Schizosaccharomyces pombe: one gene and its partners. Changing the gene in region 2 together with the main gene of any one other region gives a genetic interaction. Each region holds a gene or a part of one and is shown on either strand. Other genes may lie near its edges.

The links.
Region 1: mutations in fis1 (region 2) and cwf28 together harm fitness more than expected from each alone (negative genetic interaction), as found in Schizosaccharomyces pombe (one large-scale study listed by BioGRID).
Region 3: mutations in fis1 (region 2) and dsc5 together harm fitness more than expected from each alone (negative genetic interaction), as found in Schizosaccharomyces pombe (one large-scale study listed by BioGRID).

What each region holds. Positions count from the first base shown.
Region 1 is NC_003423.3:3,991,112-3,994,787, forward strand, and holds cwf28 (splicing factor Cwf28), read right to left. Parts: upstream 1,875-3,676; 5' UTR 1,727-1,874; coding exon 581-1,726; 3' UTR 501-580; downstream 1-500. Other genes in the region: fes1 (Hsp70 nucleotide exchange factor), read left to right, coding at 1-419; signal recognition particle receptor alpha subunit Srp101, read left to right, coding at 2,346-2,546, 2,725-3,676. UniProt on the Schizosaccharomyces pombe protein: Involved in spliceosome maturation and the first step of pre-mRNA splicing.
Region 2 is NC_003423.3:1,755,852-1,759,737, forward strand, and holds fis1 (protein Fis1), read left to right. Parts: upstream 1-1,608; 5' UTR 1,609-1,955; coding exon 1,956-2,337; exon of another isoform or gene 2,338-2,450; coding exon 2,451-2,551; 3' UTR 2,552-3,106; downstream 3,107-3,886. Other genes in the region: pfd1 (prefoldin subunit 1), read right to left, coding at 659-821, 973-1,139, 1,237-1,245; actin cortical patch component End3, read right to left, coding at 3,107-3,886. UniProt on the Schizosaccharomyces pombe protein: Has a role in mitochondrial fission. Has a role in outer membrane fission but not matrix separation.
Region 3 is NC_003421.2:1,814,123-1,818,903, forward strand, and holds dsc5 (UBA/UAS domain-containing protein), read left to right. Parts: upstream 1-1,962; 5' UTR 1,963-1,979; coding exon 1,980-2,087; exon of another isoform or gene 2,088-2,274; coding exon 2,275-3,450; 3' UTR 3,451-4,281; downstream 4,282-4,781. Other genes in the region: SPRY domain membrane protein, specificity factor required for ubiquitination Ear1, read right to left, coding at 213-1,361; U6 snRNP-associated protein Lsm7, read left to right, coding at 4,302-4,351, 4,406-4,697. UniProt on the Schizosaccharomyces pombe protein: Involved in protein degradation through the ubiquitin/proteasome pathway.

The DNA of each region.
Region 1 (3,676 bases), 2.2 Mb from region 2:
TTTATGCAATAACTAGTGAGCTTAAACTTAACGAAGCTGGAATTGCTTTATTAGATAAAATCCCAAACTCTTGGGAAATGCTGATTGAAATCTTGGAGCTTAAACACTCGGTTATGACAAAACGAGTTATCTTTTTTTTCTATGCATTACTTATTCAAGAAGATAAATCAAAACAAATTATTCTTCAAAAGGCACACGAATTTCAGATTCCAGAAAAAGTTTATCAATTCAGTCTTGAACATTCTGTCGATGAGGATTGTGTTACCAAATCTCTTCATACACTTTATTTATTCCAGAAAAATAAAGTGTCTGTCGCAAATACTAACGAGTTATTAAAGTCGCTCGTACAATTTAAGTCAGAGTTTCCTGAAATTTTCACCGTCGATGAATGGAAAGCATTTCACGAAGCTCTTGAATAAAGGTTGAAAGCTTCGATTACTATTTTTATTATTCATGTGGACTACGGAGCAATATAATGAGATGTTTTATTTCGTTTATGACTGATAAACAATTTTTTGGTTATTTGGAAAGGATACTCTAGTAACTGTGGTACTTAAAAAGTAAGATAATCGTAAATTCATTAAAGTGTACGAGTACTTCTGTAACTTCTATCTGGATTTTCTCTCTCAGTATATCTATCGCTTCTATGAGAACGTTTTTTATATGAATAACTCCTTCCTTGATAGTAATCATCTGAATAACGGTCTGTTCGATGTTGTTTCCGGCGCTCCGAATGGTATTCGCGATACTTAGTTCTGTCTGGATCTCTATCGCGTTTGTTGTAATTTCGTGAATTATAATCTAAATGTTTACTGCTCACTGAAGACTCTCTTGAGAGGTTGTTATCTCGGCTTCTTTTTCTGAATAGTTCTGAACTGGGAGTTAAGTTGTCAATGGAATTTGACTTCTTCTGTACTTCAGTATGTTCGTTTTGTGAATTCAGAGCGGAATTTGATTCTAGAGGCTTAACAGGAAGAAACATAGTCTTTTTTGGATTTTTCCAAATATCCAGCTCAGTAAGTTCGGAATCCACAGGCTTGGCTCCCATACCCAAAAACGTCGGCCTTTGATTAACATCAAAAGCATCTTTAGAAGATAATTGACCATTCCAACCCATTCCTCGAAGCATGGCGGCGCCAAATTCTTCAACCGGAATTTCCGAGTAATCTTTCATATTAGAAGGCTCCGGAAGCTCGTCAATGTCTTTTCTATATGCATCTTTCTCGTTAACAACATTAGTGGTAATCGGCTGTAAGTTGGCAGAATTAGCACTTTTAACATCGTCATTTAAATCATTAAGGACAAGTTGGACTTCTTCAGGAAGAATATCAGTACTTTCTTTATTTGTGGCTATCTTATTTTGAGCCTTTTCATTTGAATTATTTGCCTTCCAGTCCACAATTTCATTATCCGCTGCTGATGAAGAAGCCACCCGAATATTTAGACCATAATTTAAGCCGCTATCTGGCAATTGTGAAGGTTTCTCATGAACTTCTGTTTCTTTTTTTTTAAACCTGGCTTTTCTTTTTTCCATCCAGTTCTCATCACTTGCAATGTGGATTATCTTTGGCGCTCTTTTCTTTTCGTGTATGCGCTGAATAGTTTCATTCTGATAATGAACTCCCTCTTCAGCGCTAAATCCAGTAATAAGTTGAGGACCTTTTAATTTTTTTTCATCTTCATCCTCAGAATCGCTGAATGCTTCTAATACGGCTTTTCGCTTCATCAGAGTTATTATGATAACTCACTTGTTTGCGACTAAGCGTATTACAATGAACAAAAAAAATAAAATGGCAAAAATCGGCCAGATTATAAGTAGGAAGGAAAGTTTAAAATTACAGTGAAAATAGTCTTGAGAATAATCACATTCGTACAATGAGAGTTGTGAAGCTTTTCAGGAATTTTTCGTTGCCCAGACATGGAATAGTGTGTGCTCCCTTTACCTCTTTATTTGGATTACAGAATTCATGCTCATTTCTCCCTTACTTAAAACGCACCTTCAAATAGCAGTAAAAAAATAGCTTTTTTATTTAGTGGCATTTTTTATTAATATAAAAGTATAAACAATTTTGGTTGAAACGAAAGCCTACTGTTAATATCAACCTTTAGTCTCAAATTGCATCTATCCTTGTATAATATTGCATACAACAAGTTTTAAGGTAATCTTTAAAATACGTTAAGAAAAATATGTTTAAGCAAATAGCTTAACTCAATTAGCACCATAGATTTGGTATAGTGCGTTATTATGTATTGTACGGCAGTGAGCAATGTGTTTAATCAAGAACACTCCTTCTTAGTTGGTGAGTAGTTTACTACTTTTAAAGCCATTTGTGATTGAGCCTGGAATGATTGACTTGTTTGCGATAGTTAATAAAGGAGGCATAGTACTTTGGAAAAAAACAAATTCTCTTGTTAATTTGAAATGCCTTCAAGTTTTATTTCACGAAGCTTTCTTAAGTGAGCAAAGAACGGTGAACAACACCGTAACATTTGATCGGTACACCATGCAGTATCAAGAGGCTACACAATATAGCATAGTTTTTGTGGTAAGTTTAATATATTGTGATTTGTGCTTTGACAGAAATTGTCAATTACTATACACCCAAAATGAGGTCCAAAAATTTTTTTGTTTATACTTTATCTTTGATTTTCTATTATTTGTCAAAGTCAAAGCCATACCTTTATCGTGTCATTTGAACTTAATTAACGCGGTTGAATTTTTAGGTTGTGTTTCAAGATTTGAAATGTATGGCATATTCTCAATCACTGCTTAATAGTGCTCATAATATATTTCTGAATCTATTTAAAGAAAAATTAGAAGATCGTCAAGTTCCTAATGAAGCAGAAGTTGAAAAACTGTTCGCTCCCATTTTTAATCGTAAATCAGCACAACTGGAGAATGAAACAGACACGAAATCTTTACCTGTTGAGGCTAATAATGATAACTCAGCAAGAAAGAAAAATGAATATGAAATGAAGAAAAAAGGCGCTCAATCCAAGCAAACAAATGCCCCTAAAAAAGGAAAGAAGCAACTCAGAAAATGGGATGATCAAATAACTGAGGAAGAACAGGCTGCATTGAACTATTCTAGTCAAGCATCTTCTGCTTCCCAAACAGTCGATAATTCCCAACTTTCTTCTATTGTGGGTAATAATAATAAGTTTCAAAAGACTGGTAGTGGTGATGTTATTATAAGTGATTTGGAAATGGATCCCAATCAAACAATTTCCAATAAATCTGCATCTTCTGCGTTTTCCCTTTTCTCCAACTTAATAGGTGGGAAATACTTGAAGGAGGAGGATCTTAGTCCAATTTTAAAGCAAATGCAAGAACATTTAACAAAAAAGAATGTCGCAAATTCTATAGCTCTGGAGCTTTGTGAATCTGTGAAGGCTTCGTTGATAAACAAAAAAGTTGGTTCGTTTGATACTGTGAAAAACACAGTAAACAAGGCCTTTCGGGATAGGCTTACTCAAATACTCACCCCAAGTACATCTTTGGACCTTTTGCATAGTATTCGTTCTGTACGCAAAAACGAAAACCGTCCGTATACCATTTCTCTCATTGGCGTCAATGGTGTTGGAAAATCTACAACATTGGCTAAAATAGCGTATTGGCTTTTATCTAACAACTTTCGAATCTTAGTTGCTGCCTGCGATACTTTTCGCTCGGGTG
Region 2 (3,886 bases):
TAATATTAATACATTACTACATACTTTGTTAAACAATGATTAGTGACAGTTCGTTTCGGATAATTTTATTCATAAACTATAAGTAAGCTATAAACTATTCCTTGTGCATCTCTCAAAAAGAAATCAGAAGTTAATGGAGAACAAAACAGCTTCCACACAGTTAATGATATCCTTGAAAAAATATAGAACACCTTAAAGTATGGGTCAGTAAAACAGCCAACACAAAAGTCAGACAAACAGACGTTGAAAAAGAAAGAAACAAAAGGGAACGAGAAATCTCAGACTGACGTGCAAATCAGATGGAAAAAGTTTCAGCATACGATGCTCAGTTGAACTATGCTTTTTTGGAATCATCAAAGAAATCCTTTCTCCATTTACTTTTCCAAACGTCAATTCTAACAGTAGAAAACTTACCTTAAAAGTATAACATATACTAAATTCACAAGTCTTCAAGCTTGAAATTTAAGTATCCATACACAAAAGCGCAGTCACAGTGATCAAAATTTCGGCTCACAAATGCCCCAGTATTTGTTAGAAATGCAAGAAGATTAATGGAACAAATTTACTTTAATTCTACAGTTTTAAAGATAAAAAAGAAAGTCATAAACTTTCCAATCCCATAATCCAATTTACCAATGAGATGATTATAATTGATGTTTTAAGAAATCGACTCTTTTATCTTTTGTAAATGCTGCTCAGCATTTGAGGCCGTTGTTTCGTGATATGTTTGTTTCTTTTGTAGTGCTTCAATATCTTCTCTTAAACTTGCCATTTCTGCGTCCAAATGTGTACGTACGGAAGCCAAATCGGATTTCATAAACCTGTAAATAAACAGTTAGTAAATGACTTTACATATAGATTGACAGTACGGTCAATTCCATTCCAAAAGTGCTGTTTTTGCTAATTCCGTATTCTTTCCCTATTTTTATAGAAAAGAAAATAAAAATACATGTTTCATTTTATGACACTTACATCTTTCCAAGAGAAGTATATACGGCCTTATCTTCTCCAACATCCTCTAACTCTTTTTTGGCTAATTCACTTATTTTTAGTGCCCGTTCCTTGGCAGCAATCTGTACCATTATGGTCCTCAGTTGTTGCTGTGAATCAACCGCTTTCTCTTGTATTTGACTAGCTAACTAATATGCCCAAAGCTCATTAGTTTACCATGTAACACAGTTAAAAAGAGGGAAATTCCTAACAAAATAATTCTCTTCTCAATGATGAAATACGTACATTTTGCATTATTTAAAGGAAACTTGGGTATATCTCAAGAACTTATTTTTTTTGGATTGAATTGCTCTTTCCAAAATTATGGTACAAAGAATAGTCCTTTTAATACTTTTTTTATAGACAAATCAAGAACTTTTTCAATATATTTGAATATACCACCTTTACAAGTATATCAAGTCTTAGGCAAAATGTTGGTTAGGCCTTAAGTACAAAGCTGGCATGTTACAAGCTACTTTACACTGCTTTTATTATCGGTACGTTTCGCAAATGTGAATTACATAATACGCCACAATTTGTAATAAATATTTTGTGAAATGTTTTGCCATATCCTTAAGTTCTTCCTTACATAAATTGTTGGCGATGGCGTTCACAAACGAATCTTCATTTCATTCCTTCTCTGTTTCAAATTTTTGTGGAAAAAGCATATCCATATTCTTACTAAATCGGATTTCTGGACTTTTCTATTGCTTTGGAAATCCATTATCCTTGTAGTTCACTCATTTGCGCCTCAAATCCTTTATAATTGGAATTGGCTGTTTACATTGATAATTTAGCATTTTTGCATCATACTCAACCCTTTTTTTCTTCTTTTATATTTGAGTTGTTGAATTTTTTTTCAAGTGACTGTAGTTTTTTCAACATTTTCCGTTTATTTATATTAATCCGCCTTTAAAATAATTAAGGCACATTCAAAGACCAATATAGGAAGCAATAACGACATCATGACTGAAAAACACACCCTTCGCCTCGCTGATCCTTCTGCTATTGATTCAATTATTTCTGTTGATGAGTTTCTACAAATCAAGGAACAATACGATGCAGAACAACCTCTGATTACTTTACAAACCAAATTTAACCTTGCTTGGGCATTGGTACGCTCAGATTCTACACAGCATGTACAACAGGGATTATCTTTGTTCTGCAGCATTTACAAAGATTCACCGGAAAGGCGTTTGGAATGCCTCTACTACATTGCTTTGTCCCATTACAAATTGAAGCAGTATGAAGAATCCCGTCGTTATCTCAATATGTTGTTATCCAAAGATCCAAATAGCCCAGAGGCTTTAAAGCTAAAAAACCGTCTTTACGATGCTGTTACAAAAGGTATGTTTATTTTAATAAAACTTAATGAGGTATCACATATGCATGAATGTTGTGTTTATGTTAGAAAGATGCGTTATAAATAATGAAAAGAATCATTACTAACCCGTTTTTAGAAGGATACATTGGAATGGTTGTGGTAGCTGGTGCAGTGGTGTCAGTTGCAGCTCTTGTAGGTTGGGCATCAAAACGGTTGTTTTCAAAGCGTCGTCCTTAAACCGTAAACGATATTAATCACAAGGGAGCTTTCTTTTGCATAAATTCTTCAATTTTTTCTCCTTACGAACAATAGGATTGTGGATGTATCCTTTTCATGAAACGCGTATGAGTTACGAAGGCTTTGGGAGACATTATAGTGTGCACTTTTTTTAGAAAAAGAAGATTATAAATCGAAGCTTGTTGTTTTTATTATATTATCTTTTCTTCTTACCCAGTTGATAGTTCTGAATTCGCTTGTGTTTCTTCTTAACAGCAGGGTAATAAATTTACCTCAAGGAGGTTTTAGATTGTTATAAAAAGAGAGTGAGTATTTATTATAAAAGCTGAATAAGTTCCTCCTTTTATACTAATTCAAAAGTTTTGTATCGATTAAACCAAAAAATATAATGATGGACATTAATGAATGATTTTACAATCCAATTCCCTCTTCCTGTTTGAACAGTTTATTAAGCCCAATAAAGAAAGAAAGAAAGAGTGTACCTTCGTCGATTTTCCAAGAAAACATCCAAAGACTCAAGTATTTGAGATGATGAGCTTTATAAACGAGATTTTGTTAAGACAGACTACGAAGCCTTTCCTCTAGCTTAGCCACTTGAGACTTCCGACCTTCCAAGTGACGTCCCAAAACATTAAGTTGTTGTTCCAGCATTTTTAAGTCATTATCAATGGCGGAAGCGCTGGGGCCATTTGGTCCATCATTTTTTAGAGATTGAAGGATACCCAACTTATAGTCAAGTACTTTCTGTAAATCACGTTGAATAAGCTTTGACTTATTTTGTGCAATGTTAACATCGTCAGTTTCACGTTGAAGGGAAAGAATCTTTTCGTCCAATTTGGACAGCTCATTTCTTAATGAAATCAGCTCCCAGTCAGAGTCTCTCACATCCCTCGGGGCATCAAGATCACTCTTCGGCTTCGCACCACCCGTAGATGGAGCCATTGTAGGTGAAGAGTAATAGTTATTAGTAGAGTTGTAGGAATCTAAATTATAATCGATATTTCCTCTCTTAAAACTAGCCTTTAAACTGTACGGGACATCATTAGGAATACGGAATCCGTTGGATCTCTGAGTAAGGATGTGCAAAAATACTAAACACTGATCTTTCTGTATGGTTTCAGTACCCTGAGGATTGACAAGTTTCCAAGCCTTCTGAATTTGAGAGTTGGGAACCCCAAAAGGAGTAAATACAGGTGCCAGGCCATTAAAAGATACTTCTCCGTGTTTATTGCAATGTAGGGAGTAAATATCGGAATATCGAATTTTATCGGATGGAGAAATGTACCAATCAAATCCATCTTTTAAAACGGCATCTTCCGGGTCGGTATCAAGCGA
Region 3 (4,781 bases), on a different chromosome or scaffold from region 2:
AAATTTAATTAAGATTAATAATTATAACTAATTTTGAAGAAATTATTATAAAGAAAATAAATACATTGAACATCAACACATCCCCTTCAATTCATATACAAAGTGCATTTCTCGATTTTAGGACTAACTTGAAACACAACGCACAAACATTTCCACAACTTGATCTTTGGTTTTGGCGTGAAGGTTGTTAGTGCTAAGCTATACATTACTCCTTATACTTCATCGGTAGCAGGCATGGAGTGCATTTGATAAGCTTGATTGTTGGATGATGATGGACTGAAAACATTACCAGCCGCATCATACGAGGTACCATCAAAATTTATTGGAGGTGACCTATTTTTCGATTTGTCGGGTCTATTTGTATCGCCCTGCGTTGTTGTACCCGCTGAAGACTCACTAGCTGCATCCCAACTAATAGTTGGCTGCGATGTAGAATACGACGGAGGAGGAGCCAAGCTTCCAACCGCAGGAGCGAGTCTCCATTTCTTGATGTTTGCTTCAATAAATACATATCCTGCTTGTCCAAGATTGACATGTAAGGTACAAGGTCCAATTGCACCAACCGTAGGATACAAATTTCGATATGTACACGGCAGTTCTGCACACCGACGACCGTTACGTGTAAAGAAGATCCGATTGCACTTCGGTTTGTAACCAACACCAATTACATCTCCCTGCTGGTAGAAAGAGGAGTACGGTTTTCCCGTAAATGGTGAATTACTGCGGCGTGTTCCATCCGACACATAAGCAGTAGACCAAAAATTCCAACCAGGCAATCGAAACGGCGGATATGGCTTGGTAGCCAGACCGATGGAAACCAAGGTATCAATAGGTACGTCTAAAAGTTTTACTTCAAAATAGTATACTTCATTGATCCTCTGCAAAGGCAAATTGGTTTGCATGCAACATTCTTCGTTGCCCAAAAAAGACAATTCAGTTTTATTTTTAACATAGCAATTATATTCCTGATTTGGGATAAAGTGCCATGCTAATACGCCCTTCTCTTGAACTTGTAGGAAGTCAAGCAGCTTTGCATCCGTGTTGACGTTAGATTTCATGGAATTCAACTCAAACTCACGAGCTTGTAAATACCGTTCTTTCCCCATATCATCCAATAAACTAAATCCTTCTTCATCAATATGTTCATTCTCTAACGCTTCGTCGTCCAACTCACCAGGATTGGTGTTTTTCAGCAAGATCCGTCCATGTCGTGTGTATCGCAGTAATAAGATGACTGACAAAAGACAGATTAAAAGAACAATGACAGCGGCTAATGCAATAAATATGAAAAGGATTGCTAAATTAGGATGGGTGTTTGAAGATTCCTGTAATCTCAACTGGCGAATCTGATCGGGATGCATGACTCAAAGACGCAAAAAATAATTTTTTATATAAGATTTGAAAAAGGAAAATCTGCGAGTGTATATTTAATAGAGAAATAAATAACTGAGAGTAAAATCCTAGCTATAAGAGGATATAGTATAGGGTTAAGAGAAAAAGGATTTTTCTCTCAGATATGCAGTTTATTAAGCACGAGATACAATATTTAAATCTAACGTAGATGCAAGTATCTCAAATATTGCACTAATATGGTTTTTGCGAATGCTCAAGGATTGGGCGAAATGGTATACTTGTTTCAAGTTTACAGGAGAAAATACAAACTCCTTTAAATAAATAAGATATAATTCTTAAGATAAAAAAGAATTTATTCCTGAAGGAGCCACAATGGCCTGTTGTAAGGTAAAATCGAAAATCAGCGGCAATTTACCAGATAATACTGCTCCGTCACAATTATGCTTATAAGTTTTCTGTTTTTACAACCATAGATTGGAATTAACCAAATTTTTATTCGAAAATTTACTTTGATTCGTTCAATGTTTGCTTCCGGATTTCAGATGGTAATGGGAAAAGGAAGGTTACGAAGCACCACGTAAAGGCCACATGGATACTACTCCGTCCATTAACCAACAACACCTACCATGTCAGGGTCTCGAAAACAAGAAGCAATAGACGAATTAAGGAACTCTCTTGATGTTCCTGCTGATACTGCTCAATCTGTTTTGGAATCATTTAATTGGGACGTTCAGGTATGTGACACGGCAAGCATTCATTTTCAGTATTCGATAGTGATCAATTGCTTTGATTGAAAAATTCCAAGAAAGTTGTTATTTGCAACTGAACATTCATGGAATCCTCTGGTTGTCGTTTATTTTTCTAATCGAATTTTCGGTGAATGTTGGGACTGAGCCATTTTGCTAACTGTTTTATGATTAGGAAGCGATCGAGAGTTTAACTGGAGAATCGTCAAGAGTCGATAGAAATTCAAAGCTTGGATTAAGTTTCGGCGTCTTTCAATCTGTTTTTTCTTTGCTATTCAGTGGGTTGCACAAACTATGGATGATTTTGTCAAGGGTTCCTCTGATTTCAACATTTATCCCCATTTTTGGTACTACTAAGCGTGTCCTTTCTCCTGCAGACACTGCGAACAAGCTGGTTCAGAATTTAGAAGAGCAATACGGTACTGAGCATATTGATTTTTTTACTGATGGCGGCTACATGGAAGCGTTGACACGTATTAAGCGTAATTATGGAGTCGCATTGCTTTTCTTTACTAGCTCAAAGAATGATGACTCTGAGACGTTTTCCAGGAGTGTTCTTATGAACCAAGAGCTAAAGGAATTTTTAAATCGTCGAAACATTCTTTGCTGGACTGGTGATGTTTGTGAGGATGAGGCTTTCCGAGGTTCTCGTCAATTCCACTGCACTAAATTTCCCTCCGCAGTCCTTGTTATGTATTCACCTCAGCTATCTGAGCTTGTAGTTGCCGCCCAACTCCATGGATGTCTTGATAGTTCCAGCATCATTACCAATCTAACTAATGCTTTGGCTAAACATCTTCCTTCTCTTGAGCGTTTCCGTTCGGAGAGAGAAGCACGAGAAGCTGCTCGCGAGTTACGACGTCAACAAGACAATGCCTATCAAGCGTCCCTTGCCCGCGATCGCGAGCGTCAAGCTTTCGCGAGAGCAGAAGAAGAGCGTCTTGCAAAGGAGAAAGAAGAAAGAGAAATCGTTCAGAAAAAGAAAAAACAATATCGTGCTTGGCTTGCTTCTAATCTTCCACCGGAGCCATCATCTGAAGATGAACCTGCTCGTCTTTCGATCCGTTTTCCCGACGGATCTCGGGCTGTTCGAAGGTTTAAGAAGGATGATACTGTTGAATCCGTTTACAACTATGTGGATTATATGCTTTTTGAAAAAGAGGAGCCTGAAGAATTCGGTCGCGCTACTTCATCTTCTAATCCGGTCACTCCACCAAGTGACTATAAGCATGATTTTCATTTTCAACTATATTCTTCTTTGCCCAGAGCTTTGCTGAAACCATCAGTGGCTATTTCTACTAACAAAGCCATCTTTCCAAATGGCACTGTGGTGGTGGAGCTGGATGATTGAAATTAACAAAATTGTTTGTCTTTTTAAATCATAATGACAATTTACGACTATCGACGTTTCGAATCCGTTTTTAAATACATTTCTAAGATTTGATGTATGATGAATTTATTTTCTCTTTTCTATTTCTACTACTGAATTAATTGTTGTTTATGGCATGAATGTCTACTGGACGCATTGACTTTTTATTTTGAGCAAACTTTCAATGCACCCTTTAATCTGAGTACATAGTCGATTTCCACTAGATTTTCTGTTCTTTGCCAAAAACCTTTTCTATGCATGTCATCTTCATCTCTGTTTTCTACGATTTTCTTTGCAATGGAGGACAAAGGCTAGTAATTTAGGCTTTGTAGCATAAAAGTTTTGCCAGCTTTCGTCTGTGATGAGTGAGGTATGTATTATGAACATAAATTTGTTTAAAATATAAATCTTTCTTTATTGCAATTCGAAAAAGTCTAGTGGCTTTGTTTCTAAACAGCTTAAATTTTACCTTTAAACTTTCATTAATGTTAAATTTTTATATAATTAATATACAAATTAGTGCATTAGATTCACTTTATGTCAAGCATTATGACCCCAAGCATGGAATTTCTCAACGTTTCTAACAAAATTGGAAAAGTAAAGCGGTGAAATTATTTCCTTTCAGACTGAGCAAGTTTATTTTACATTCCTTTCTGTAGCGTGTTTTATATTCCATTTACTGCTATGTCTTAAGTCATTCAAATTGAACCATATAAGGATACGTTCGATCACGTTACAATCATCGTAAAAAGGAGAATCGTCAAGTTGAACCTGTACTTTATTCTTTTCTGGGCAATAGCTGATAATTTACCTGGTTATTCTAGATACAAAGAATGTCCAGTCTTCAAAAACGCCCTGGCCCAGGTAACTCTAGTCAACCGACGTAAGTCTAGCAGGAACGAGCAGCATCATGAGTTTTGCTAACTTTCTTAAATAGTGAAAGACCAAGAAAAGAATCTATCCTTGATCTTTCTAGATATCAAGATCAACGAATTCAAGCCACGTTTACGGGGGGCCGACAAATTACCGGTATTCTAAAAGGATTCGATCAGTTGATGAACCTTGTACTTGACGATGTAGAGGAACAGCTTCGCAATCCTGAGGATGGTAAACTTACTGGAGCTATTAGAAAGTTAGGTCTTGTAGTCGTTCGTGGAACAACTTTAGTTTTGATTGCTCCCATGGATGGTTCTGAGGAGATACCGAATCCATTCGTCCAAGCTGAATAAAAAGCCACAAGCCCTTCATTTGATGTTTGACTATTGTTAATAAAATACTACAAGTTAATTATTATACCGCATGTGCATGTTTTG